Anolis sagrei: one gene and its partners. The protein of the gene in region 4 interacts with the protein of the main gene of each other region in a pairwise test. Links are inferred from orthologs where the notes say so. Each region holds a gene or a part of one and is shown on either strand. Other genes may lie near its edges.

Region 1 (7,101 bases), about 200 Mb from region 4:
ACATTTCACCACATAATAATACTTGGTAAGATGGTAGGTAGAGTTAAAGTAGTTTCCATTTTTGGGGGATGCATCTACATTGTAGAATTAATGCAGTTTTACACCACTTTAACTGCCATGGTTCAATGCTATAGTATCACTGGGGTTATAGTTTTACACATTCTTTAGCCTTCTCTTCGAAACAGTACTGGTGCCACACCAAACTACAAATCTCAGGATTGCACTGCTTGGAACCATGGCAATTAAAGAGGCTCAAGATATTCTATATACCTTGGATCAGTCATAAAGAAAAATTGAGACTAAAGTCAAGAAATCAAAAGACTAGGGGTGGATATAGAATGAAGTGTAAATGCGTCCTTGATCACAACACATAAACTAACCCTTAAATATTTATAGTAAATTTGTAAACTTTTAAAAATGTGTTGAAGTTATAAAAATTACACTCCAAAAGATATCTGTTCAGAAATAAGCTACACTGAAATTCAATGAGACTTATGTTCACATGTGTATATACAGGTTGAACATCCCTAATATGGAATTCTGAAATACTCCAAAACTAAAAAATTGTCCACATGAGTGGCTGAGATAGTAGTACTTTGCTTTTTGATAGTTCAGTGCACAAAAAACTTTGTTCCATGCACAAACTTTTAAAAACTATGGTATAAAATTACTTTCAGGCTATGTGCATAAGGTATATAAAACACGCATAATGGAAAAACAGATATTCCAAACGAAACCCCTAAACAACACCAAAATACCAAATACTTCTCGTTCCTGTATTTCAGATAAGAGATATTTAACCTGGATGCATGTAGGATTGCAGTCTCGCTGTAGTCCTAATAAAGAGCTTCTTTCTGGAGGATTCATTTCATTTTCAATGCGTAGACTGCCCCCATATGGAAACAACTGCAGAATCATGCTAGGGTAGGGTTTTTATTAAACCATTAAAAACATAACATTCAGTAGACAAACCAAAACACATGTAACTGACACTTAACTCTGGTCAGCAAGGAGTTTACAAGACAGCTACACCCAGGAAGGAATCAAAGGCCATTTCTTATCTCAGCAAATGCAAGCACAAACAAGCAAATCCCACTGCTGCTGAAGTTCACAATTTACACACACACACACACAGGCACAACTCTCTCCCTTTTTTTAGGGAGAGAGTTGGAGCCCCCGGTGGCGCAGTGGGTTAAAGCCCTGTGCCGGCAGGACTGAAGGTCAGTGGTTCGAATCCGGGGAGAGGTGGATAAGCTCCCTCTATCAGCTCCAGCTCCTCATGCGGGGACATGAGAGAAGTCTCAGATATTCACACCATGGCTCTTGAAATGATAATCAATTCTTACTGATCCCAAATAGTTATATTTGGCTTTTTTTGTGAGTAATAACAGCTACAATTATTTCACTGATAAAGAACATAAACCAACAACATAGAGGAAACCAGTAGCAATTCTGTGTGCTATGGTTGGTGCCAGTTCACTGTAGCAGACTCACAGGGGCACCAATGGGTAAATATCTTAATCAAGGGCTTCGTAACTTTGACTTGGGACCCCTTTTGGCCTGAGAAAATTTTATGTGACCCCAGATATCTATCTATACACATAAAAAAGTGAAAATATGTATGTTTATGTGTGGCAGGGGTGTCCACTTGCACAGACAAGCTCCTGCCTCCATAAATGGCTATAACTTCCATCACGCATGAGACACCAATGGCCCTCCCTCCAATAACATTGCAAGTTATAGTGAGTGCCATGAACATTTACAAGAGGCTTGCCAATGTTCTCCACAAACACCATACTGCCCACCACCAAGTGAATGCTTTCATAAAGGGAAAATCTCTTCCTAGATTTTGTTTTCCCTCCACCATAGACATCTCATTGTTTCTGACTCTCTCTATTGGTGTGGAATTTGCATGATCCCGCCCACTGCCTTTCTTACTCTTCTCTATGGCACACAGCAAACGGAGAAACTGATCAGAAACTGAACATACTGGAAAGGTTTGAGGGATTGACTCAACATGATGGAAGTTGTCCAGGGTGAACTACAACTTCCATCATGTTGAGTCAATCCCCCAAACCTTTCCAGTATGTTGTTTCTGATCAGTTTCACCCTGTTTGCTGTGTGCCATAGAGAAGAGTAAGAAACCCTGCTGGGCACAAATGGCCTTGATAAGCCAGAGGTTTGCTGGACCCTACCCTGCCTATTGACATCAGCACTTCCCTTGTACATGGTGGGTTGGGAAGAAGGGTTCCTACTGATAAGAACTGGGCCGAGTGTGGTTGCAGGGTGGAGACATGGAGCATGGTGGGAAATTGTCTGATTAACACCCAAAAGACGGCACAGCATTGTGAAATATAAAAGCCAGTGTATTGTCATTGCTTGGGGTTCCTCAATTTTGGTGGCATCACTGGAACACCAGTTCTCTTTATTTTTTCTACCTTTTCTGAGTTTTTCAGAACATAACTTTCTGAGAGCAAGAAATGCCTGGTTATTTTGCTGGCTGTCTCTGAAGCTGCTTCTTTTAAGAGATTGGAGAGTTTAGTTGTATTGATCTGCATTATATAGATCTACAATGTCTATATAATGCAGTCCCATAGAATGGGGTTTAGCTGCATCGAACTGCATTATATGGGTCTACACTTATATAATGCGTTATATAACGGAGTTTAATTGCATCAGACTGCATTACACAGGTCTACACTGACTATATAATATAGTTCCATAGAATGGGATTTAGCTGCATTGAACTGCGTTATATGGGTTTACGCTTATATAATGCCACACAATAATGGAGTTAAACTGCATCAAACTGCATTACACAGATCTACATTGACTATACTGTATAATATAGTCCCATATAATGGAGTTTAATTGCATCAAACTGCATTACACAGGTCTACACTGACTATATAATGTAGTTCCATAGAAGGGGTTTGGCTGCATCGAACTGTGTTATATGGGTCTACGCCAGTGGTTCTCAACCTGGGGTCCCCAGATGTTTTTTAGCCTTTAACTCCCAGAAATCCTAACAGCTGGTAAACTGGCTGGGATTTCTAGGAATTGTAGGCCAAAAACATCTGGGGACTCATAGAGCAGTGGTCCTCACCCTGTGGGTCCTCAGATGTTTTGGACTTTAACTCCCAGAAATCCTAAAGCTGGTAAACTGGCTGGGATTTCTGGGAGTTGTAGGCCAAAACACCTGGGGACCCACAGGTTGAGAACCACTGGTCTATGCTTATATAATGCCACATAATAATGGAGTTTAACTGCATCAAACAGGTCTACACTGACTATAGAATAGACCATAGAATGGACTTTAGCTGCATTGAACTGCATTATATGGGTCTACTTACATAATGTCCCATATAATGGAATTTAACTGCATTGAATTGCATTATATGGGTCTACACTGAGCAGACCCGTAGCCAGGATTTTGATGGGGGGGGGGGGTGCTGAGTTTGAGGGGGGGGGAGTTTGATTTAAGGGGGGGGGGGCTGAGGATCTACCCATGCAAACCTTTTGTATTGTTACCCCAATACCCCCATGCATATAGGATATATTGAGCATGGTGGTCAGATTATGATATGAATAAACATAACAGTTTAAATAATATACCAGTAAGGCCTTTTCGCGGACCACCCTGAGAATTTGGCGGGGGGGGGGGGGGCTGAAGCCCCTCAAGCCCCCTTCCCTTGGTTACATAGCACTGACTATATAAAGTAGTCCCATAGCACTGACTATACAAAGTAGTCCCATATAATGGAGTTTAGCTGCATAGAAGTACAGTATATTACATGGGTCTCATATAATGTCCCACATAATGGAGTTGAACTGCATTCTATGGGTCTACACTAATTATATGGTATGGCAGTTTATATATGAATGCTGAACACTGGCTAGGGGCTAATCTTGGCTCCTGTTTCTGCCTGAGGAGTGGCCCAGTTTGTGTTTCCTCTCAGTCCTCCACTATAACTCCCATCCCTCCTGCTAGCTAGAGTCTCTGGGAGTCCCAAAACACCCCCCCCCCCTTTGCGTTGCATCCAGGGCACGAGATAGGGAGGAACCTCTTGGAATGGAAACCGAAAGCAAAGGAGGCAGCTGGCCTTGCCTTCCTCCGCCTCCTCCCGCTTTTTCCCTCCCACCTGGTGGTTTCTTGGAAAAGACTGCAGCTCGTTGCTTTCTCTTTCCTGCTTGGCGTCCCCAGGACTTTCCTCCGGAGCCCAGCTGCGACTTGATCAACTGCAAGCACTCTTTGTAAGTAAGTCTGGGTGGTGGCTTCTCTTTCCTAGGAGCAGGCTAGATGTTTATAAAGAAGGCAAAGGGTGTTGGGGTTCCCCTTTCCTGTTAGGAGATACTGATTGTTCCATCTTTTCTGTCTTGAGAGCAGGAAGCTCCCAGGCATAAAAGAACAGCAACAACAACAACAAAATAACAAAATTGTGTTGTATAAATTGGATATTGTTTTTGCTGGCTTATAATGTCTTTTATATCTGCTTGGGGATTGCTATGCACTTCCTGAGACTTTTACTTTTGGTTTTAGTTTACTAAGCTTCTGGTGAATCAGTGAATATAACAAATCATCCTTGATGTTGATGCTACTTGTTGGAGCAAAGTCTGTGAGGACCAGGAGAAAACAAACTCAAATGGCTTTGGTAAAACAACCCTGAGGTCCCTTTCACAATATGCAATTAGAGTGTTAACCATTCCACTTCAACTACCCTGGTTCCATACTATGGGTTCCTGGGATTTGCAGTTTAGGGAAGGGCCAAAGATCTCTTTTGGTTGTGTATCCCTTATTCCAAAATCCTCCAAATCCCAAAATTGTCCACCTGGGTGGCTGAGATAGTGACACCTTTTATGACAGCAGATTGAGATAACACCATAAGATTGATTTATCTTTGCATAGTGGGCTCCATGGGTTATAATAATAACAACAACTTTGTCTTGTCGAAGGCTTTCGTGGCCGGAATCACTGGGTTGTTGTAGGTTTTTTCGGGCTATATGGCCATGCTCTAGAGGCATTCTCTCCTGACGTTTTGCCTGCATCTGTGGCAGGCATCCTCAGTGGTAGTGAGGTCTGTTGGAACTAGGAAAAAGGGTTTATATATCCGTGGAATGACCAGGGTGGGACAAAGGACTCTTGTCTGCTGGAGCTAGGTGTGAATGTTTCAACTGATCACCTTGATTAGCATTTGATGGCCTGGCAGTGCCTGGGGCAATCTTTTGTTGAGAGGTGATTAGGGGTCCCTGATTGTTTCCTCTCTGCTGTTTTGCTGTTGTAATTTTAGAGTTTTTTGATACTGATAGCCAGATTTTGTTCATTTTCATGGCTTCCTCCTTTCTGTTGAAATTGTGTATAACTTTATTTTTATATACCGCCAACCATCTCCTCTAGGGGACTCGGGGCGGCTTACAAGGGACATGCCCAAGATTACAATTAAAACACACATGTAAAACACTTTAACCAATTAAAACATCAGATAAAACAAATAACACAATAGGAAGCAATATAAAAACAATATGGCTGAAAGAAATATAGTCAAAAGTGCACTGGAACATCCAGGTTTTTAGTTGACTATGAAAGGAGGACAAGGTGGGAGCCTGTCTGATCTCCCTAGGGAGGGAGTTCCAGAGCCGGGGGGCCACCACTGAGAAGGCTCTCTTCCTCGTCTCCACCAAACGTGCATGTGACAACGGGGGGAGAGAGAGCAGTGCCTCCACAGAAGATCTCAAGGTATGCACTGGTTCGTAGGGGAAGATGCGATCGCAAAGATAAGCAGGTCCCAAACCGTTTAGGGCTGTTATGATGGTTTTTTCCCCAGAGAAGAGACAATTCAGTTTAGGTTTAGACATTAGAATAAACACATATTGGCAAAAAGGCCCTTGATACAATAAAACCATTAGAAGAATAACACTGTGATATTTGTGTATATCTAACTGTGCTCTGTAGAATATGGAGAAAAGTGACATTCAAGGGACACTTGTAAGCAAAATGGAACCACTTAAAGAACCAGCACAATTCAAGGTAAGTTCTGTCAAATACTTCTACAGTTTCCCATTGGAACAGTCAGTGTTGTGCATGATAGATACTATTTATGTATTTCTAACTTTATTTGGCAGAGCGCAGAGGAAACTGAAACTCCAGAAGCAGTTATGAAAAAGACAGGAAATCTTTCAGAATTGGAAACGTTGATGGCAAATGCTGTAAGTAGTACTCATGTAACTCTAAACAAATTCAAAGCTTTCTACCTTAATTTTTATGTTTCATCCTGAACAGGGAATTTACTGGGCTTTATGTTTTACTACTTTGTGTGGGGAAAGAGTCACCACATCCTTTTTTTGAAAGTATGAAAAAGATGAGTTGTGCTGCCCCAAGGAATTTTTTTTAATTTTCCTTTTAATTTCTGTGTGTAGAGCATTGAAGAACACAAGACTTCAGATGTACTTACAAATGAAACTGGAAAACAGAGAGAATTAGAAAAATTGAAGGTGAGCACAGTAGATGTGGAGGATAAACTCTGTGCATCTGTTTTTTGAAAAGTCTGCCAGCAGTGTTTTGTCTGAAGCATTGAAATGTCTGCCATGGAATACTGGTTGTGAAGTGATTTATAGTTTCCAAGTTATGACCTCCCTGAACAGCTGCAAGCTGAATAACACGTGTCCCAGAAGCAAGCAAAATACAGCAGAGTCCTTTCACAGCAAAGGCATACTTCAACCAGTCTGTCAGTAGAGTCCCAACTGCCAGCATCTAGCCACCTCTACACACTGTTTAGTAAACTTGCGGATTCAGGTTTTCATTCAAAATATCTGGAGCCCCCGGTGGCGCAGTGGGTTAAACCCTTGTGCTGGCAGGACTGAAGACCGACAGGTCGCAGGTTCGAATCCGGGGAGAGGTGGATGAGCTCCCTCTACCAGCTCCAGCTCCTCATGCGGGGACATGAGAGAAGCCTCCCACAAGGATGATAAAACATCAAATCATCCGGGCGTCCCCTGGGCAACGTCCTTGCAGATGGCCAATTCTCTCACACCAGAAGTGACATGCAGTTTCTCAGGTTGCTCCTGACATGACAAAAAAAAATCAGAATATCAGGTGGCTTTAAT
Region 2 (7,008 bases), on a different chromosome or scaffold from region 4:
CAGAGCACTTCCCATACATTATTTTGTTGTAATCCTTCCAATAAGCCTGTAAGAACTGAACTCCCTGGAGAAGATATTAATAACATCACTTATTTATAGCTTGTACACTATAACTGTATTTTCCCAAACTGGCTGCACGTCCTCAAGAACAGAAAAAAGACATTTAAAATAATGATTTGCCCATGGAAAAATATAACTGCAAGAGGTAAAATTCAGCAAATTCAGAATAAAAGAGTGCCCAGTCCTTCACCATCGTTTTGCTCACCCAGTTTGTGACTTGTCTTCATAAAAACCTGACCCCTGTCTCATAAAAAAGCAGAATTTTATGTGTTCCTGTGAAGTTAGTTTGGGAGTAAAGAAAACGGAGAACACAGATACCCTGTAGAACATGGTTTTGTGGTTATACTGGGAATATAAACCTCTAATTTAGCTGAACAAAACTTCAGCAGGAAATGAGACATTCTTCAGGTGCACTTTTTCCCATTGCCAGACCATCCAGAACAAAGAGAGCTAACTGATAACTGCAACAACAGAAACACCTTTTTATTGGGATCACTGCATGAAACCTATATAACATGTGCCTAATTTGCCTTTTTTAGAATGTGCTTGGCATCTGTTTCCATATTATTCTATGGAAAGAACACTATTATTGCCCAGGCAGATCAATAACATAGCTAATAGTAGTGTGCAAACTTGAGAAGGATATGGCATCCTTCAGAAACAATCCAACACATGATGTTAAACATGCCTAAAATTTTGGGCCTGCATTCATTAAATTTTACTTTTGATTGCTTATCCTTTGAGGATAAATTGCCTATTCTGTATTAGACTTTGGAAATCGTACTCTGGACTAAGCTAAAAGCAATGACAGCAGCAGCAACAACAACAACAACACTTTATTTATATACCGCTCTATCTCCCCAAGGGGACTCAGAGCGGTTTTCAAGTAACATAATCAATACATACAAGAAAAAAGGCATAAACATAAAATTAACAAAACAGTATAAGCATTAAAACCACAATAGCACATACATTTAAAATAATCATGTCTGATCAAGGCAGTTTAAAAGGCCGGGCCGGGCTACTGCAATTTTAGAGGGCCCGGGAAATTAGTCTATGGCTGTACATGTCTATGGCTGTACATTTCCAGAGCCTAACAGAAGAGAATGGCCTGGGTAATTGCTAGAAGAAGATATGACCAATTTCAACAATCTGGGGCAGAGCTAAAACTAGTCGTTCTCAAAGGTTTGCTTAAACCACCAGGTCTTCAAGCTCTTACGAAAGGAGGGGAGGGATGGGGCCTGTCTTATTTCCCCAGGAAGGGCGTTCCAGAGGTGAGGGGCCACCACTGAGAAGGCCCTCTCTCTCATCCCCACCAACCGTGCTTGTGACGGTGGTGGGAGTTAAAGGAGGGCCTTCCCGGAAGATCTTAAAGTTCACGCCGGTTCATAGAGGGAGATGCGATCGCGAAGATAGGTGGGGCCCGAACCATTTAGGGCTTTATAAGTCATAACCTGCACCTTGAATTTGGCTCGGCAACTTATCGGCAGCCAGTGAAGCTGTTTTAAAACGGGCGTTGTATGCTCCCTATAGTTTGCTCCAGTAAGGAGCCTGGCTGCCGCCCGTTGTACCCATTGGAGCTTCCAGGTCGTCTTCAAGGGCAGCCCCACATAGAGCGCATTGCAATAGTCCAGTCTGGATGTAACCAAGGTGTGGACCATGCTGGCTATGACTTTAAATCCTTGGTGCTTACAAAAGGGAAATTATTGATGTTCATCTTAGTTGGGGGCTATTTGATTTTTTAAACTGCATTGAAATACTCATACTTGCAAATTTTCTAATCTTGGCTCAGACACTTCTCAAAATGGAAAGTGTCATGAAAAACAACTAGAAAGTTGGAAGTTTAGCTATGAAGAAATTAAATAAGAGAGACAACTGAATACCAGAGTCCAAATTATCCACACCATAGTATTTCTGGTTTACTTGTATGGTTGTCAAAAGTTGAACAGTAAGTAAAACAGAAAGGAAAAAATCCAAATAATTTGAAACATGGGTTGTTGTAGGTTTTTTGGGCTATATGGCCAAGTTCTAGCAGCATTCTCTCCTGACGTTTCACCTGCATCTATGGCAGGCATCCTCAGAGGTTGTGAGATCCTCACAACCTCTGAGGATGCCTGCCATAGATGCAGGTGAAACGTCAGAATGCTGCTAAAACATGACCATATAGCCTGAAAAACCTACAACAACCCAATGATTCCAGCCATGGAAGCCTTCGACAATACATAATTTGAAATATGGTGCTAGAGAGAACTTGATGGCAAGTACAGGATTGAATCTTTCTCTCAGTGCTTCAGTTTGGCTTGATTCCACAGTAATAGCACTACCTAACACAAGGTCATCATGAAAACATTTCTGTGCACACATTCCTAAATTCCACATTTTTATGAACACATTTTCCCCATCTATATACACGTCTAATACTATAAAACATTCAGCTGAGAAAAACAAAGCATTATTAGCCAAGGGAGGAGAAACCTCCAAGAATTAAGTTTATAAGATTCTTATAATCTTATATGCTTCATATTTAGAAAGTAGTTCTCCCCAGATGAACTGTTCTTGAAGTGACATTCATATCCACAAAGGTGTATTGGGTTCTGGGTAGCACAACCTTACTCTCACTTTGTTGACAGTATTACAATTATTGCCAAAAGCTTAAGAGTATTACTTTATTTTGGAAAGCAGATCTATCTCTATAAAAGATACAATCTACACAGAGTTGATGCACACATAAATACACTTCACATTAACTCTACATTTCCTGTAGAAAAAAAAATCCTAATCTTTCCAAGATTTGAAACACTTACCCAGCCTTTCTGATGTATTCAACATGAAAATAAAAAGCAGAGGCCAAATGTAAAGCATGGTTTCAAAGTTTCCCTCCGAAGGCGTCTCTCCTGGTTCAGCAGATGCAGAGAAATAAGCAGCCTCTCCTCCCCAGCACACTGGTCCTCTGCAGAGAGAGAGAGAGAAAAAAACAGAAGGGCTGGACTGGCAGCTTGGAGAATTGGGAGGAAACAGTTTCTTCTGGCTCCACCAGTTTTCTTAAGCAGCCTCTCATCCTCCCTCCCTTCCTCATAACAAACCAAACTAACCTTCAAATTCCACACAGAATCCGCTCACCCAGGCAAGCTTATTTTAGGTCAACTTTATTACAGCAAAGGGGGAAAGGTTTGCTATTTATTTATACTGTGCATGAATGGAATGTGCCCAAAAGAGCTGTGCTGGATGTATCCAAGTGAGAGAAGTGTAACGCAACTGACATGCATCTTTCTCTGGGTTTTTTAATCACGCTGTAAAGGACAATCTTATGTGATATTCCTGAAAGTCTTGACACTATTTGTTTATTTAGATGTAAAATCTACCCTATCCTGAACATCAATGTTATACTATTTATGACATCTATATAAATAAAAATGTAATGTTCATTTGTGGGATTAACATAATTTAAAAACCACTGGACGAATTGACAACAAATTTGGACACAATGCACCTATCAGGCCAACAAGTGACCATCACTCATAAAAACACTGAAAAACACAGTGGAAGAGGCTTACAAGCCAAAAAACAAAAAGACATTACAACGCAAAACCACATATATACCCAAACACATATATACACATATACATAAACATATACACACATATATGCACATATATACACACACAACACACAGGGGCGGCCCAACCCATTACGCAAAATAAGCATTTGCAGTATAGTTGATTTTGCCCAGGGGTGCTCTTGAGGCGCTCTTGGGGGGAAATAGATCTTGACATATGCAAGCTGTAGTTACTGGGATGTATAGTTCACCTGCAATCAAAGAGCATTCTGAACTCCACCAATGATGGAATTGAACCAAATATGGCACACAGAACTCCTATGACGAATGGAAAATATATATCAATGATTGGTTGGGGGGGGGGGGGCAAAATACTGTTTGCTTACCGTTGAAAATTACCTAGGGCCGCCTCTGACAACACATATACACAGAAAAGGGGAAGGAGGGAAGGAAGGAAGGAAGGAAGAGAGGAGAAAAAGAGGGAAAGAAGGAGGGAAGGTGACAATGAAGAAAAGAAAGAAAGGTAGAGAAGGAAGGAAGGAGAGAAGGAAATAAAGTGAAAGAAAGAAGGAAAGAGAGAGGGAAGGAAGGAAAGAAGGAGAGAAAGAGGGAGGGGGAGGGAGGGAAGGAAGGAAGGAAGGAAGGAAGGAAGGAAGGAAGGAGGGAAGGAAGGAAGGAAGGATGGAACCAAAGAGCAAAGGAAGTGAGAAAAGAAAAAGGTGGAGAAGGAAAAAAGAAGAAGGGAAAGAAAAACAGGGAAGGAAGGAAGGAGAAAGAAAGAAAGAAAGAAAGAAAAGAAAAGAAAAGAAAAGAAAAGAAAAGAAGGAGAGAAAGAGGGAGGGAAGGTTGGCCACAGCAAAACGTGGCACGTACAGCTAGTTTTATATATAACTGTGACAGATCCCTGCTCCACATTCTGAATACTTGGGCTCCTGTCATCCACCTTATTCCAGAATTTTGAAACTGCTCACTGTGTAATGTGACTTTAGTAGACAAGGAGATGTAGTTTGTGTCAGGCTCGGTTTGTTAATTTGTGACTGATTCTTATTTTAACCTTTTAAGTGAATGGCTTCTAGGCAGTGCTGTAGAATAACAAAAAAAAATTATTACTAGCAGATATCTTAAACATTTAGCATGTTGCTACCTTCAGAAATATTTTAATGTAACAACTTTGAATTGAAGAGTCACTGTGATACTTCAGTTTGAATGTTGGACTATTATTCTAAGATTTCAGATTACAAATTTGCACTTGGCTAGGGAAGACTACTGGGTGATCCTGGGCAAGTCGCACTCTCTCTGTTGGGGTTCAGGAGCAAGATGCTGAGGATTCCTCTTTCTCAGAGGATGAGGGGGATGATGGGTTTCCCATTCACAAGTCTGTGTGTGATCAGGGTGATTTGCAGACCACAGAGCAGACAGATCACAGAGAAGTGCCAGCAGCTACAGAGGTGGAGACAGGATGTTTAGGATTCCAATGTCCATTCCTTAGCAACCAGGGAAAAGTCTATTTCTGCCTTCAGGGCCTTCTTCAGGTGCAGATGGGGACTTTTCCTGTGATATAAGATTAGGCCTCTGTGGGGAAGGAGTCAAGGATAGATTATAGGGTTGGATAGGTTCAGGTGTGGCATAATTCAAGAAAAAAATGGATGTTTTTGCCTTCCAAAGGGACTTCCGCCACATTTCCGCAAGGCTGTAGTCCCCTATAGTTTTGAATCACCTTGCATGATTGATTTCAAGGATGCGGAAGTGATTCAGAAATCCTCTTATTTAGAGATGAATTAGTATTTTCTGGCTGGGAATTTTTAATATAATTCCAGAACACCATAGGTTAGAATCATAGGCTGCATTTACATTGTTGAATTAATGCACCAACCGCACTGTCTGTTTCACTCTCACTTGCAGTATGGATGGTCATGGATTAGCTAGTGTGCCCCTCTCCTTGATATTTTATTTTAACTGCCTTAAATAACGCCTTCAATGAGCTTATGTTTTACCGTGTAAAATTATCAATAGCTGATTTAAAGGGTACAGTGTCTTTCACAACTGAACAGCACAGACATGGGCATTTGGTTCATAAGGTTTTATCACCAGAACATTATAAGGCCAGTTTCAGTGTTTAATATCGCATCTTTGCAGAAGTATGTTTGATTACTATGTACTGACTTCTCCCTTTCAGTAACCAAGTGTTACTATTGCTGTATAAATAATAGTAAAACATGCCAGTGTCTTAAAAGAAAAGATCTCAGAAAATATTTCTAATTTAAAATAATACCAATGATTTTTTGGCAGAATTGTTGTTCGGAAAATGGAGAGAAAGCATTCCTTGGTGTCTTTAGACCAAATATGGTAATTGAAGGAATGAGCAAAATCATATAAATAAGAGGTCTGAACAAAATCCAGTGTTGTCATATTTCAGAAATGCCAGTACCCAAAAAATACCTCATAAACGCTACTGCCAGTGTTCTTATGTAAGCGGTGAAATGTTAAGAGAGCACATATATGTGGCTATTAAGCAACTGCCACATATCAATTAAAATCCTGCAAGATGCTGATAGAGCACAACATCAGTTTGGGTGGGGTAGTGCTGGTAGAAATGCCCTTTATTCCTAGATGTGCAATAACACTTTGCAGCCTATGATGCGGATCCATCTCCCAGTTACTGTTCTAAGGGCCCATCTACATAGTCCTGAAAACCTGGGCAAAGATAGGATAAAGGGGGTGACTACAAAATGCACACGCATAATGCAGGCTTGTTACTGAAACTGTACAGAAAACACGTGATAAAAAGGTTGAATGAAATCCATTAATGGGCAAAAATGCACTACTACAGAGCACTATATATCCCAGCCCCGCCCCCCAATAAGAGTTCCTTGAGCACTTATCCTCCTTTTAAAACCCTGAAAGAGCTGATGGAAGAATGTAAACAGATGGAGCCAAGGAAACACAGAATACAAAGATCAAAGAAACCAATCAGGCAGCTAAATGGAAGCACAAGAGGAAAGCAATTCTCATGAGAACTCTCTCCAAACATTTATTTGTTCTCATTTCTTTTGTCTCACTGAAATGAATCGGAGCTTGAGATTACTCAGCAGGCACCAGCATGTCACAGGCAAGTGACCTCAAAGGGAAATGGGGTTCAAGAGAGCAAACTTGAGGTACCAGGAGTGAGAGTGAGACAATGATAGTAAATCTGTTTGTGGACATTTTGTTGTATCTGCATCAGTTCTGCAACACTTGTGAAATGTTTATAAGGTACAACACATCTCAGAGCATCATTAGGGGGAAAAATTAAATTTCTGATGGATGGGACACTGTAGCTTTTGCAGTTCCATTTAATTAGCATTAACCAGACCTTTGTGGACGCCATGAGACCATTTACCGGGATGAATAAG
Region 3 (7,345 bases), about 300 Mb from region 4:
ACAGTGCCTTGGTCAGTGTTCTGGACCCAGCCAACTACACCTAGTTTTTTTCCTTGAGCCTAAAGGAGAAAAATCCATATACAGAATATCTCCTGAAGAAGATGCAATGATCTGTCTGAATACAGAGAAAAGTATAAGCTGCCTTTTTTTTATAAGAATCGATTTCCTTAAAAGAGTAAAAAAAAATGCTGTTCAACTCGTTTCTGTTATCAACCCTCTATCCCCACCCCTGGAAATGCAAAATGAATATATTTTAAGCTACTTTGGGTGTCTTTAGAAATATAAAGTGAGACATAAATAAATAATAGCCAGACAGCTGATTCTAACAGCATTAACCTTGAATGTTTCTGCTCTTAAGTAGGGTCCCTTCAACGCTGCCCTATATTCCAGGACCCCATAATAATAATAATAATAATAATAATAACAACAACAACAACAACAAGTTTATTTGTACCCCGCTACCATCTCCCCAAGGGACTCGGTGCGGCTTACATGAGGCTGAGCCCAAATACAACAATACAGACAATAAACAACAATACAAGCCATTAAAAATAAAAAAAGATAAGCAATAAAATATACAACATTATCACTAAGACAACACACAATTAAAAACAGTGGGAAGGCCAAATGTAAAGTTAAAATTGGAAATAATGTTGGGATAATGTTTATCCCAGATTATATGGCAGTGTAGACTTATATAATCTAGTTCAAAGCAGATACTCTGGGATCAGATCATGGGATATTGGGCAGTGCAGATCCAACCTCAAGGCCCTTCCACACAGCCATATGACCCAGAATATCAAGTCAAAAAATCCACAGTATCTGCTTTGAACTGGGTTATCTGAGTCCACACTGCCATATATCCCAGTTCAAAGCGGATAATGTGGGATTTGATTCAGGTGTGTGGAAGTGGCCTTAGCCTCACTCAACTCAAGTAGCCTTAATTTATGTTAGTCCAGGTATGGGAAAACGTTGGCCCTCCAGGTGTTTTGGACTCCAACTCCCACAATTCCTAACAGCCGGTAGGCTGTTAGGAATTGTGGGAGTTGGAGTCCAAAACACCTGGAGGGCCGAAGTTTGCCAATGCCTGTGTTAGTCAAACCCTTGACATGCCAGGATGGGCAGATACCTGTGTGTATTTGCGGAAAAACACCTCTTGCACTTTCCCGAACACTTCGTAATCGATTGACACGAGTCCATCTCCCTCAGCCATGGTCAGCGGTCCCTGGATCAAAAGTAAAAGTGCCATTAGGCCAGAGAGATAACGCAGATACAGAGCCCATATCCCCCCACCAGCCCCCAGAGATGGCTCCATGAGGAGAGCTGGCATGTCCTCTGAAGGGGGAAGTCGAAGGCCAAATGTCAAGGCAAGGGCAGAGGGTAAACCCTGCCTTCATTTGCATCTTCATGCATATGTAAAAAGGGGGCGGGGGATCGCTTTTGGCACCTGCAGGGTCTTTGGGGCCGCCTGAACGTATACCCGACAGCCTCCCTTCCTCAGAAGAGGGGCCGCCTTCCTCAGCCAATCAGCAGCCAGCTCGCGCGTTCAGGGTTCTAACCGCCACTAACGGCTCGACTGCGAAACCACAGAGCTGGCCTCCGTCTCTGACTAGAGAGGCCCCTCCCTAAGCCGTAGTCCGGAAGTGAGGCTGTTAGGAATTGTGGGAGTTGAAGTCCAAAACACCTGGAAGGAGGCCCAAAGTTTGCCTATGCCTGGTATATACATACACACACAAATATACTATATATCAGGCATGGCCAAACTTTGGCCCACATTCCAGGTATTTTGGACTTCAACTCTCCCAATTGCTAACATCCAATAGACTGGGTTGTTGGCGATGTTCCATAATAATAATAATAATAATAATCTTTATTTATACCCCGCCACCATCTCCCCAATGGGGACTCAGAGCGGCTTACATGAGGCCAAGCCCAAATGATAATTACAATAAAGAAAAACCAAAAACACAAACCGAAAACACGAACAATAAACAATAAAATCATAGTTGCATAAAACATATGAATACATAACAATATTAAAAAATATGCACAGGCACAATAATAATAGGCAGGCTACATGTAGTGATTAAAAAGACAAACTGATGAAAACTGATTAAAATTCTCTCCTGACGTTTCGCCTGCATCTATGGCAGGCATCCTCAGAGGTTGTGAGGTCTTGTTAGAAACTAGGAAAATTGGGTTTTTTCAACAGATCTTAGAGGAGGTGTGGTTTTAAAAAGGGAATTTTCAGAGATGTTCCTAGTGCCTATATTTATTTATTTCCAGCATTTATATCCCGTCCTTTTCAACCTCCAAAGAGGGACTCGAGACAACTTACATTTGGCACAATTTGATGTCATTAAATATAACATAGCGATATAACAACAATTAAAACAATAAATAGAATATTAATTAAAACAATAAAAATAGTATTAACCGCTGTATCACCATTCCAGTCTAATTCCATATCCAAAGTGCTATTTATGCCTGCTGTCCAAAAGCCTGGTCCTAGACCCACGACTTAAATTTCTTCCTAAAAGACAGGAGGGATGAAGCCAATCTTACCTCGTTGGGAAGCAAGTTCCACATGCAGGGGGCTACAGCCGAGAAGACCCTGTCGTTCGTCCCCGCCAGATGTATTTGCAACACTGGCGGGAGCGAGAGCAGGGCCTCCCTGGATGATCTTAAACTGCAAGGCGGGACTTAGTGGGAGATGCATTCGGACAAGTAAGCTGGGCCAGAACCGTATAGAACTTTATGGCTCAAAACCAGCACTTTGAATTTAGTTTAGAAGTGGATTGGTAGCCAGTGGAGCTGACACAAGAAATGGGTGGCGTGCTCCCTGTATGTTACTCCAGTTAGTAATCTGGCTGCAGCCCGTTGGACTAGTTGAAGTTTCTGAACAGTCTTCAAAGGCAGCCCCACATAGAGTGCGTTGCAGTAATCGATTCAGGATGTAACAAGATGTGCACCACTGAAAGATCTGAAAGAGACCTCTTTGTTGCTCATTAGTTCAGACGTTTCCGACTCTTGGTGACCTCATGGACCAGCCCACACCAGAGCTCCCTGTTGGCCGTCACCTCCCCAACCTCCTTCAAGGTCAATCCAGTCACTTCAAGGATACCATCCATCCATGTTGCCCTTGGTCAGCCCCTCTTCCTTTTTTCTTCCTTCCCCCCCAGCATAATTGTCTTCTCTAAGCTTTCCTTTCTTCTCATGATGTGGCCAAAGTACTTCATCTTGGCCTCTACTATTCTTCCCTCCAATGAGCAGTATTTATTTATTTATTTACTTTATTTATATACCGCTTTTCTCAGCCCTCAGGCGACTCAAAGCTGCGAACAACATCGATACAAAGCATCACGAGACAAGTATAGGGCAATTAAAAACAATTGTAACATAAATCATTAAACATCAGAATAACAATCATTAGTGCCTCAACAGTAAAATCAGAATCCAGTCTCATCATACATTATTCCATTCCTATGTTCAATGACATTGTTTAATCAAATGCTTGTTTGAACAGCTAGGTCTTCACTTTCCTCCGAAACGCCAGCAGGGAGGGGGCCGATCTGATATCTGCAGGCAGGGCGTTCCACAGCCGAGGGGCCACAACCGAGAAGGCCCTGTCTCTTGTCCCCGCCAAGCGTGCCTGTGATGCAGGCGGGACAGAGAGCAGGGCCTCCCCAGATGATCTTAGTGTCCTAGTCGGTTCATAGGAGGAGATGCGTTCGGAGAGTAGCATGTTCCAGAGTAGTAATGAGATCACTGACAAAGAAACAGCAAGAAATACTGTTTACCGCCACAAGCATAAAGAAATTACATATATTATTTATTTATTTATTTATTTATTTATTTACTGTCCTTGTATACCGCCGTTTCTCAGCCTAACTGGCGACTCAACGCGGTTTACAACAAAATATACAGTGCACAGTATACAATTAAAACCATAAAAAACATAATACACAATATTACACGAAATCACAAAATCACAATCCAATACATCTCCTAACTAAAATCGTGGTCCAATTGCATCATCCATATTACCAATCCGTAATCAACACATTCATTGCACCGAATTAACCAAATGCCTGTTTGAACATCCAAGTTCAAGTCCAACCCAAATGGACTTCAACTCCCAGTCTCCCCTGCCACTACAGTGAGCGTCAAGGGATTATGGGAGATGTAGTCCAGCGGCGCCTGACAGGCCCGATTGGCACTTCGCGTAAAAAGGCAGAACAGGAATGGCTAGGCGGCATGTGCGTGAGCGTTGCTAGGCAACAGAGGTAAACAGCCTACCCAGAGAATCGGGGTCAGAAGGTTGGCGCGGCAGCGGAGGGAAGCAGGGAGAGGGGGCGTGGCGGCGCGCTAGCACACGTTGCCATAGCGACGTGGCCGCTCTTTGGGCCTCGCGGCGTTTCGAGGCAGGAGATCCATGTCTCCTCGTTATCGGTGGCGGGTAAGCCCTCCGGGCAGTTGCTAGGAGAGGACGCTTCCGTTGTGTGACGATGCTCTAACTCGCTGCCCGCCTGCCTCCTGAACGAGATGGCTCTCGATAGTAAACACACCAGAGTGCGAGCGCCCTTGAACTAGAGACGTCACCTCCACTTCACGAAAATTAGCATAACTGCGACCTGAGGCTCCTGCCAAACCCAGGGCTCGTTTCTTCAGAACCAGAGGCCAGAACCAAACGCCCGTTTTCTTGCTGTACGTTTGAACGAACCGCACTGGGGTAAGTCATCCCTGAGGGAAGACCTCTGTCTTAACCCTTTGGCTGGCTTTATTTGCAATATATACCAGGCCTGGGAAAACTTGAGCCCTCCAGAGGTTTTGGACTTCACTCCCACCATTCCTAACAGTCTCAGGCCCCTTCCTTCCTTGGGCCCTCCAGGGTTTTTATTATTATTTATTTATTTATTTATTTTATTTACTTTACTTGTATACCGCAGTTTCTCAGCCCAACAGGCGACTCAACGCGGTTTACAACAAGGATAAGAATCAATCAACGATATATAATTTAAAACCATAAAAGCATAATATACAATATTGACACAACAATAGACAACACAATGCATCTCATAACTAGAGTCGTGATCCAATCCGTCGTCCAAATTTCCATTCCTGTAATCATCACATTCATTGCACTGTTTAACCGAATGCCCGTCCAAACATCCAAGTTTTTAATCTTCTTCGGAACACCATTAGCGAGGGGGCTGATCTTACCTCCATAGAAAGGGCGTTCCACAGCCGGGGGGCCACCACAGAAAAGGCCCTGTCTCTCGTCCCCGCCAGCAGGGCCTCCCCAGAAGATCTTAGGGTCCTGGTGGGCTGATAGGCAGAGATACGTTCGGATAGGTAACTTGGGCCAGAACCGTTTAGAGCTTTATAGGCCAACGCCAGCACTTTGAATTGAGCCCGGTAGCATTATTATTATTATTATTATTATTATTATTAATTTAGGAACTAACGGTCCCCTGCCACGCATTGCTGTGGCCCAGTCTGGAGATCTGGAAAATAATTAGAAAGTGTTGGTTTCTCATATATGTAATTTCTTTATGCTTGTGGGTAAACAGTATTTCTTGTTCACTAGAGTTAAAAAAAACTCTAAAATTACAACAGCAAAACAACAGAGAGGAAACAATCAGGCACATCTAATCACCTCTCAACAAAAGATTGCCCCAGGCACCAACATGCCACATCGCTTCACTTCACTTTATTTCTTAATTAGTCGCTCTCCACCAAGGTGCTCCGAGCGACTTACAATCTAAAATAGCATTTACACAATATAAAAACATTCAACATAAAAACATTCAACAACATCAAACAACTGCCAGGCCATCAAATGCTAATCAAGGTGGTCAGTTGAAACATTCACACCTAGCTCCAGCAGACAAGAGTTCTTTGTTCCACCCTGGTCATTCCACAGATATATAAACCCATTTCCCTAGTTCCAACAGACCTCACTACCTCTGAGGATGCTTGCCATAGATGCAGGCGAAACGTCAAGAGAGAATGCCTCTAGAACATGGCCATATAGCCCAAAAAAACCTACAACAACCCAGTATTCCTTGTTGTTTCTTTGTCAGTGTTGATGTAGAGATTGTCTGGTTTGCCTACTCTGGAACATGCAACATATTATTGTCCATCTTTAGGGGTCCCTTTCAAATCTATGAGACTATATCTGTCATATACATATGTGTGTGTCTCTGTGTGCGTGTGTATCACATATATCTATCTATATCTATGGCTGGATGGCTCTTTGTCAGGAGGCATTTGATTATGTTTTCTTGCCCTGGTGAAGGAAGTTGGACTGGATGGCCTTAAGGCAGCATTTCTCAACCTGGGAGTCGGGACGCCTGGGGGGGTTGCAAGGGGGTGTCAGAAGGGTTGCCAAAGACCACAAGAAAACACAGTATTTTCTGTTGGTCATGGGGGTTCTGTGTGGGAAGTTTGGCTCAAGTCTATCGTTGATGGGGTTCAGAATGCTCTTTGATTGAAAGTGAACTATAAATCCCAGTAACTACAACCCCCAAATGTCAAGGTATTTTTTCCCCACACTCCGTGTTCACATTTGGGCATATTGAGTATTCATGCCAAGTTTGGTCCAGATGCATCATTATTTGAGTTCGCAGTGCTCCCTGGATGTAGGTGAACTACAACTCCAAAACTCAAGGTCAATGCCCACCAAACCCTTCCAGTGTTTTCTGTTGGTCATGGGAGTTCTGTGTGCCAAGTTCGGTTCATTTCCATCATTGGTGGAGTTCAGAATGCTCTTTGACTGTAGGTGAACTATACATCCCAGCAACTACAACTCCCAAATGGCAAAATCAATTTTTTGAGTGATGGTTATTCCTTGCTTTAGATGTCTTGTGGTCAAATTTGGCAGCAATTCGTCCAGCGGATTTTGAATTATGATGTCACTCAAAACGAACAGAGCATTTATTTACACGCACACACTAGCTGTGCCCTGCCATGCGTTGCTGTGGCCTATAGTAAGAATTTTCGAAGTAGAGGTAGATATCTGGACTATTATGAAAGGGCATTACTTACCTATTCCTTCCCTTTTTCTTCCCCTTCCCCTTTTTATCCTTTCTTCCTTCTCTCTTTCCTCCCTTCCCTCCCCCTTTCTCTACTTTTTATTTTGTCTCCTTTCTTCCATTTCCTTCCTTCTTTCACTTTTTATTTCCTTTTCTCCTTCCTTCCTTCCTTCCTTCCTTCCTTACTTACTTACTTACTTACCTCTTTCCTGCCTTTCCTTACCTTTTCCTTTCCTTTCTACTTTCTCTTCTTCCTTCCTTCGGTACCTCTTTCTTTCCTTCCTTCTCTTCTTCCTTCCTTCCTTCTT
Region 4 (7,601 bases):
AGTAGTAGTAGTAGTAGTAGTACTAAGGAGAGGCTGGATGGTCATCTGTCGGGAGGGTATGCATGGTGCCTTCCTTCCCAGCAGAAGTGGGGCTGGACTGGATGGTCTTTAGGAATCCCTTCCAAAGCTGGGATTCTATGACCCTCTCCCTCTTTGGGAGACTGAGGCTTGCAAAGGGGTTCCTCATTGCTTGCACATGTCCCCCTCCCCTCATCAAAGAAATCCAACCCTTCCCCAGTCCTGGCCTGCCTCCAAACCCCTTTCCCCTTACTTCCTCTCCCCTTCCTCAATCTTGCTCTGCTTCCTCCCTCCAGCAAGGAAGAAGGGCCAAGGAGACCAGGTGGGTGGTCTCATAGGTCGAAGACAGCCAGGGGCCAACTTGGGCCCTCCCTCCCTCCAGGTGTTTTGGACTTCAACTCCCACCATTCCTAACAGCCGGTAGGCTGTTAGGAATGGTGGGAGTTGAAGTCCAAAACACCTGGAGGGAGGGAGGGAGGGCCCAAGTTGGCCCCTGGCTGGACTAATTGGTCTGGGTTCTCTGCCTGGACCTCTCAAGCCTTCAAGGAAGCCCTTGGACATTGTGGCCCTTTGGAGGCTTTGAAGCAGAGGCTGGATGGTCATCTGCTGGGGGTGGTTTGAATGCGATTTTCCTGCTTCCTGGCAGAATGGGGTTAGACTGGATGATGGCTCACCAGGTCTCTTCCAACTCTAAGATTCTATAATTCCATGACTCAAAGAAGGAAGGAAGAGAGGAAGGAGGGAGGGAAGGAGGGAAGGAAGGAAAGAAGGAAGGAAAGGGAAGGAAGGAAAGGAAAAGGAAAAAAGGAAGGAGAAAGAAGGAAGAAAAAGGAAAGGAAAGAAGGAAGGAAGGAAGGAGAAAGAAGGAAGGGGGAGGGAGAAAGAAGGAAGGGGGAGGGAGAGAGGGAAGAAGGAAAGAAGAAAGGAAGGAAAGTAGGAGAGGAAAAAAAAGAATAATGATATAATAAATTTTATTTTTAACCCACCATCTCTCTCCAGAGGGACTTGGAAGGAAGGAAGGAAGGAAGGAAGGAAGGAAGGAAGGAAGGAAGGAAGGAAAGAAGGGGGAGGGAGGGAAGGAGGAAAGGAAAGAAGGAAGGAAGGAAGGAAAGTAGGAAAGAAAGAATAATGATATAATAAATGTTATTTTTAACTTGCCATCTCTCTCCAGAGTGACTCAGGAAGGAGGGAAGTAATGAAAGAAAGAAGGAAGGGAAGGGAAGGAAGAAAAGGAAAAGGAAAACAGGAAGGAGAAGGAAGGAAGGAAGGGAGGAAGGAAGGAAGGAAGGAAGGAAGGAGGGGGGAGGGAGGGAAGGAAGGAAAAAAGGAAGGAAAGTAGGATAGAAAGAAAGAATAATGATATAATAAATTTTATTTTTATCTCACCATCTATCTCCAGAGGGACTCAGGAAAGAAGAAAAGAAGGAAGGAAGGGAAGGAAGGAAGAGAAGGAAAAGGAAAAAAGGAAGGAGAAAGAAGAAATAGAAAAGGAAAGAAGGAAGGAGAAGGAAGGAAGAAAAGGGAAAGAAGGGAGGAGATGGATGCATGGATGGATGGAAGGAAGGAGTAAAAAGGAAAAAAGGGTGAGGGAGGGAGGGAAGAAGGAAAGAAAGGAAAGTAGGGAAGAAAGAAAGAAAGAATAATGATATAATAAATTTTATTTTTAACCCACCATCTCTACCCAGAGTGACTGAGGAAGGAAGGAAAGAAGGAAGGAGAGGGAAGGAAGGAAAAGGAAAAGGAAAAAAGAAGGAAGGAAGAAAAAGAAAGGGAAAGAAAGAAGGACAAGGAAGGAAGAAAGGGAGGGAGATGAAGGGAATGAAGGGAGGAGATGGAAGGAAGGAAGGAAGGAAGGAAGGAAGGAAGGAAGGAAGGAAAGAAGGAAGGAAAGGAAGGAAAGAGAGAGAGAGAGAAAGAAAGAAAGAAAGAAAGAAAGAAAGAAAGAAAGAAAGCAAGCAAGCCTCCCCTGCTCGGCTCTGCTTCCTCCAGGTCTGCCTTGCCCATAGTTCTTGAGAAGTTTTGGAGTGATGTCCCTCTTGCTGCCTGCCTGAAGCGGTCACTTTGGCTCAGGCCACAACCTTGACCCACCTTCCCAGGGGGCCATACATGGCACTCTCCTCCATTGTCCATCCACTCCATATGCCCATTTGCCTCCACAGGTTGCCCTCTTCTTCCTCTCCCATCCCCATCTTGCTTTGGGGTCCCACCAAAGAAGCCACCCTCTTACCTGTGCCGGCTGGCCACCCGTGCCCCATTATGACCCTGAGCGAGGTTGGCGTTGGCCTGGTGCTGTCCGAAGGGGAGTGCTCCGGCCGTGTAGAGGCTGTACCGCGGAGGGTAGTTCATGGCTTGCGCCGGAGTGTCGGCCAGCAGGCCAAACCAGAGGCAGAGCCAGGCGGCCAGAGCGGTGCCGGCCATCCTGGTCTTGCTTGTGCCACTGGTCAGCTGCGCATGGCCTGGCTCTCCCTCGGGTGCACAAATCCAGGGACAGTGTTGCTCCTGTTGCTTCTTCGGTCAGGGGCAAGGCCCACCTTGGTGTCCACTTGATCTGGATGGAGGATGGTCAAGCAGTCAAGCAGCCAGGCGTCCAGTTGGTCAGTTTGTGCTCCTAGCCTTGCTGGTGCTGCTCACACTCTGACAGCTTTGCAAGGACTTCCCAGAGGTTGTAGTTCCCTCCTCCCTCTCTCTGCTGCTCTGCTCTGCTCTTCCCCTGACTTCCTGCCTGCCTACACTCCCAGGCTGGCTGTCCGGCCGTCCGGCCTTGCTGGACTCCCCTTGACCCTCCTGTCCTGGAGCATGCCTCTCCCCGAGAGGAGCCCCACTTTGCCGCAGCTCCCTCCTACCCCAGGACGTGCCTTGCTTCCCCTTCCATCCCCCTCTCATCCCCTTTGCTGGCTTTGCAAGAGTTTCCCTCCACGGCTGCAAAACCAACATCTGCTTCTCGTTACAGTCGGGACAGGAACACGCTCTGGGCCAAAGGCATGGCAGAAGGGGGGCCGAGAGAGGAGAAAGGGTCCCCGGTCAAAGGGACACACACACACACACATGGGAGGGGGCCACCACCAAGGCTATGGCCTGGCCCCTTGGCACGGCCAAGGCAAGCGGGCAGGAAGTGACCTCAGCGCTTTGGCCACCCTTTTCTCCGCACTCCCCCCAACTGGGGTTTTCCAGCAAGCAAGGCCTCTGTCTGGACGGCCCCAAGGGATGCTTGCCTGCCTGACTCCATGTGTGTATGTGTGCGCGTATCGCTCCGATCTCAGACAGGGAGGCCTTTGTTTCGGCCCTCTTAGAATCATAGAATCCTAGAATCCAAGAGTTGGAAGAGACCTCCTGGGCCATCATCCAGTCCAACCCCATTCTGCCAAGAAGCAGGAATATTGCATTCAAAGCACCCCTGACAAATGGCCATCCGGCCTCTGCTTAAAAGCTTCCAAAGAAGGAGCCTCCATCACACTCCGGGGCAGAGAGTTCCACTGCTGGACGGCTCTCACAGTCAGGAAGTTCTTCCTCATGTTCTGGTGGAATCTCCTCTCTTGTAGTTTGAAGCCATTCTTCCATTGCATCCTAGTCTCCAGGAAAGCAGAAAGGAAGCTTGCTCCCTCCTCCCTATGATTTCCCCGGCCTCACCTCTGGATCCCTGGCCCTCACCTTGTCTCCTCATAGAATCCTAGAATCCAAGAGTTGGAAGAGACCTCATGGGCCATCCAGTCCAACCCCATTCTGCCAAGAAGCAGGAATATTGCATTCAAATCACCCCTGACAAATGGCCATCCAGCCTCTGCTTAAAAGCTTCCAAAGAAGGAGCCTCCACCACACTCCGGGGCAGAGAGTTCCACTGCTGAACGGCTCTCACAGTCAGGAAGTTCTTCCTCATGTTCAGATCATAGAATCATAGAATCAAAGAGTTGGAAGAGACCTCCTGGGCCATCATCCAGTCCAACCCCATTCTGCCAAGAAGCAGGAATATTGCATTCAAATCAACCCTGACAAATGGCCATCCAGCCTCTGTTGCGAAGCTTCCAAAGAAGGAGCCTCCACCACACTCCAGGGCAGAGAGTTCCACTGCTGAACAGCTCTCACAGTCAGGAAGTTCTTCCTCATGTTCTGGTGGAATCTCCTTTCTTGTAGTTTGAAGCCATTCTTCCATTGCATCCTAGTCTCCAGGGAAGCAGAAAGGAAGCTTGCTCCCTCCTCCTCCCTGTGACTTCCTCTCACATATTTACACATGGCTATCATATCTCCTCTCAGCCTTCTCTTCTTCAGGCTAAACATGCCCAGCTCCTTAAGCCGCTCCTCATAGGGCTTGTTCTCCAGACCCTTGATCATTTTAGTCGCCCTCCTCTGGACACATTCCAGCTTGTCAATATCTCTCTTGAATTGTGGTGCCCAGAATTGGACACAATATTCCAGATGTGGTCTAACCAAAGCAGAATAGAGCATGGGGAGCATGACTTCCCTAGATCTAGACACTAGGCTCCTCTTGATGCAGGACAAAATCCCATTGGCTTTTTTTGCTGCCACATCACATTGTTGGCTCATGTTTAACTTGTTGTCCACGAGGACTCCAAGATCTCTTGCCTCCTTACGGGAAGAACAAGCGAGATGCTTACGTGATCCCTTGCACCCCACTTTTCTTTCCCCAGCTCCTGCTCCTGGCCTTACTGACTTAGGTGATCCCTCGTGGTCTGAGTGATGCCGAGGGCACCCCAGCCCCCTGCTTTCAAGCTGATCTGACCAGCCGCAGGGAGTTCCGCAGTTCCTGGATGCCCAGTTGAGCCAAGACTGATGAAATGTGCCCCAGAAGCAGCTTCAACCAGGGATTCTTTGCAGCCTTGCGCTCTCTCCTTTCGCTTCTTTCCCCAGCCCAAACAATGTAACCAATCCCTCAATAAAGACTAATTGAATTGTAAGCTTTACCTCTTCAGAATGATACCTTGTGTCTTTTCCTTGACTCACTCAACTAAAAAAGCATGATTTTACCTTTTCTGGGCCGCGGGAGACCACCAGCCCGCCTGGGATGCCGAATCTGCGTTTCTTCAAACCGCGGATACGGAAACCCCTCAGCACCCCCGTATCCGTGAGTTGAATGATTGACTCCATTTTTGTGCCATATTTTTCCTAGCAAATTTCTAACACTATCTGCTATCTCACTTTTTGCATTTCGTGCCCCTACGCTCGGGGAATAACCGTTGAATTTTTAAGAATATATTTTTAAGGAAAACAGCTGATTGTCAAATCCAAGCTTCGCTGCTGCTGCGCTACCACTGCCATCTCTGTTTCTTCGTCCTTCTGGAGCTCCTCGACCCAGAGACTTGATGCGGTCACCCCATGAGGCTTTGAACATCAAGCAAAAAGTGGGTGCTAGAAACAATATCATACGAAAGCTGACTGGCACAACCTGGGGATCACAACCAGACACAGTGAAGACATCTGCCCTTGCGCTGTGCTACTCTGCTGCTGAGTATGCATGCCCAGTGTGGAACACAACTCACCACGCTAAAACAGTGGATGTGGCTCTTAATGAGACATGCCTCATTATCACGGGGTGTCTGCACCCTATACCACTGGAGAAATTACACTGCTTAGCCGGTATTGCCCCACCTGACATCTGCCTGGAAGTAGCAGCCAATAGTGAAAGGACCAAGGCAGAGACATCTCCAGCTCATCCCCTGTTTGGGTATCAGCCAGCACGCCAACGATTTAAATCTAGACATAGTTTTCTAAGATCTACAGAGACACTTCCTGGAACACCTCAGCAAGCGAGAGTCCAAAAGTGGCAGGCTCAAACCCAGAACCTCAACCAATGGCTGATACCAAATGAGAGACTCCCCCCTGGGCACTCAGAGAACTGGGCGACTTGGAAGGCACTGAACAGACTGCACTCTGGCACCACGAGATGCAGAGCCAACCTTCAGAAATGGGGCTACAAAGTGGAATCCTCGGCATGCGAGTGCGGAGAAGAGCAAACCACTGACCACCTGCTGCAATGCACCCTGAGCCCTACCACATGCACAATGGAGGACCTTCTTGCGGCAACACCAGAGGCACTCCAAGGGGACAGATACTGGTCAAAGGACATTTAATCAACTACCAAACTCACAAGTTGTGTATTTTTCTGTCTGTTTGCTTTGTTTCTGTTAGAAATGTAATATATAATGGACTGGTTGCTCTGACACGACAAATAAATAAATTGAATTGTAACCTTTATCTCTTCAGAATGATACTTTGTGTCTTTTTCCTGACTCACTCAGCTAAAAAGCATAAATTTACCTTTTCCGGGCCGCGGGAGGCCGAATCTGTGTTTCTTCAAGCCGCGGATACGGAAACCCCTTGGGCCCCCGTATCCGCGACTTGACGAATCAACTCCATTTTGGTGCCATATTTTTCCTAGCTAAATTCTAACACTATCTGCTATCTCGCTTTTTTGCTTTTCGGGCCTCTACGTTCGGGGAATAACCTTTGAATTTTTAAGAATATATTTTTAAGGAAAACAGCTGATTGTCAAATCCAAGCTTCGCTGCTGCTGTGCTACCACTGCCATCTCTGTTTCTTCGTCCTTCTGGACCTCCTCGACCCAGAGACTTGATGCAGTCACCCCATGAGGCTTTCGGGGAGCAGATCGGTCACCGGGCTCCAGTCCTTGGAAGGAGTTATAGTTTTCCAAGGACAGCTTCGACCTCAGCGCCTCAGGGCTCCATTTCTTGGCTCAGTGGAAATCATCAGGCCCCTTTTAATGACTTTTGGACCTTTTGCCACACTTTATGGACCTCTTTTTCCATCATGGACTTACTTTCATCCATGGATCTTCCTGAAATGAACTATGAATTAATATTGGGCCATGATCAAGGCTTCTATCAATTTCCCTATGGGACACTGGGTGGCAGGATGAAGAGATATGATTTCTATAACATGATTTCTGTATTTCTATATTTCCTCCCTGTGTATCTGATCTTTTCCTGACCCTTTGGCCCCATTCCCTTTTCCTTCGAAAAAATGTATAAAATATAAGGAAGCCGCCCTGACCCTGAAGAGGAAGCAATTAGCAATTGAAGAAACCCTTATCAAAAACACTCCTTGCATGGACTGTAACAAAGGATTGTGATCTCTCATGGTCCAAGTATGATTCCAAGTGCAGCCTCTTAGCAGCAATGAAGCAAGTGGGGTGTATTTGTCCAGAGTGGGAGAAAGAACCCTTGTCTGTTTGAAGCAAGTATGCAAAGTCAATCAGTGAGGGTCTCTGCCTAGAGGTAGCCTGCCCCCTGTTGCGTGGAGGCACCCTCTGTGCAATGGTGTCCAGGGTGGGAGGAAGAGCCCTTGTCTGTTTGAAGCAAGTGTGAATGTTGCAATTATCAAGTTTGATTAGCATGGAGTAGCCTTGCAGCCAGGTGACCGACCTACTCCCCGAAAGCCTTATGGGGTGACCGCATCAAGTCTCCGGGTCGAGGGGCTCCAGCAGTTCCTAAATGACACAACCGGACACGATCCCTTCCAGTCCGGCTTCCAAATGGGGCACGGGATGGAGACTGTGCTAGTTGCCATCACAGATCAGCTCCGCTGCCGGATGGATCAAGGCGGATCAGCAC

What was found.
Region 1: the proteins of EMILIN1 (region 4) and NMI interact in binary tests that used the Homo sapiens proteins (3 or more experiments, as listed by UniProt). The two-hybrid records come from large-scale screens. The link is inferred for Anolis sagrei from reciprocal best matches to the Homo sapiens genes EMILIN1 and NMI.
Region 2: the proteins of EMILIN1 (region 4) and PLAC9 interact in binary tests that used the Homo sapiens proteins (3 or more experiments, as listed by UniProt). The two-hybrid records come from large-scale screens. The link is inferred for Anolis sagrei from reciprocal best matches to the Homo sapiens genes EMILIN1 and PLAC9.
Region 3: the proteins of EMILIN1 (region 4) and ZC2HC1C interact in binary tests that used the Homo sapiens proteins (3 or more experiments, as listed by UniProt). The two-hybrid records come from large-scale screens. The link is inferred for Anolis sagrei from reciprocal best matches to the Homo sapiens genes EMILIN1 and ZC2HC1C.

What each region holds. Positions count from the first base shown.
Region 1 is NC_090021.1:204,978,290-204,985,390, forward strand, and holds the start of NMI (N-myc-interactor), read left to right. Parts: upstream 1-4,093; 5' UTR 4,094-4,258; intron 4,259-5,950; 5' UTR 5,951-5,953; coding exon 5,954-6,025; intron 6,026-6,120; coding exon 6,121-6,204; intron 6,205-6,414; coding exon 6,415-6,489; intron 6,490-7,101. UniProt on the Homo sapiens protein: Acts as a signaling pathway regulator involved in innate immune system response.
Region 2 is NC_090023.1:153,469,058-153,476,065, forward strand, and holds the start of PLAC9 (placenta-specific protein 9), read right to left. Parts: upstream 3,011-7,008; 5' UTR 2,923-3,010; coding exon 2,865-2,922; intron 1-2,864.
Region 3 is NC_090021.1:304,973,868-304,981,212, forward strand, and holds the start of ZC2HC1C (zinc finger C2HC domain-containing protein 1C), read left to right. Parts: upstream 1-4,322; 5' UTR 4,323-4,732; intron 4,733-7,345. Other genes in the region: ACYP1 (acylphosphatase-1), read right to left, coding at 1-59, 1,130-1,330.
Region 4 is NC_090021.1:1,919,989-1,927,589, forward strand, and holds the start of EMILIN1 (EMILIN-1), read right to left. Parts: upstream 3,016-7,601; 5' UTR 2,437-3,015; coding exon 2,246-2,436; intron 1-2,245. UniProt on the Homo sapiens protein: Involved in elastic and collagen fibers formation. It is required for EFEMP2 deposition into the extracellular matrix, and collagen network assembly and cross-linking via protein-lysine 6-oxidase/LOX activity.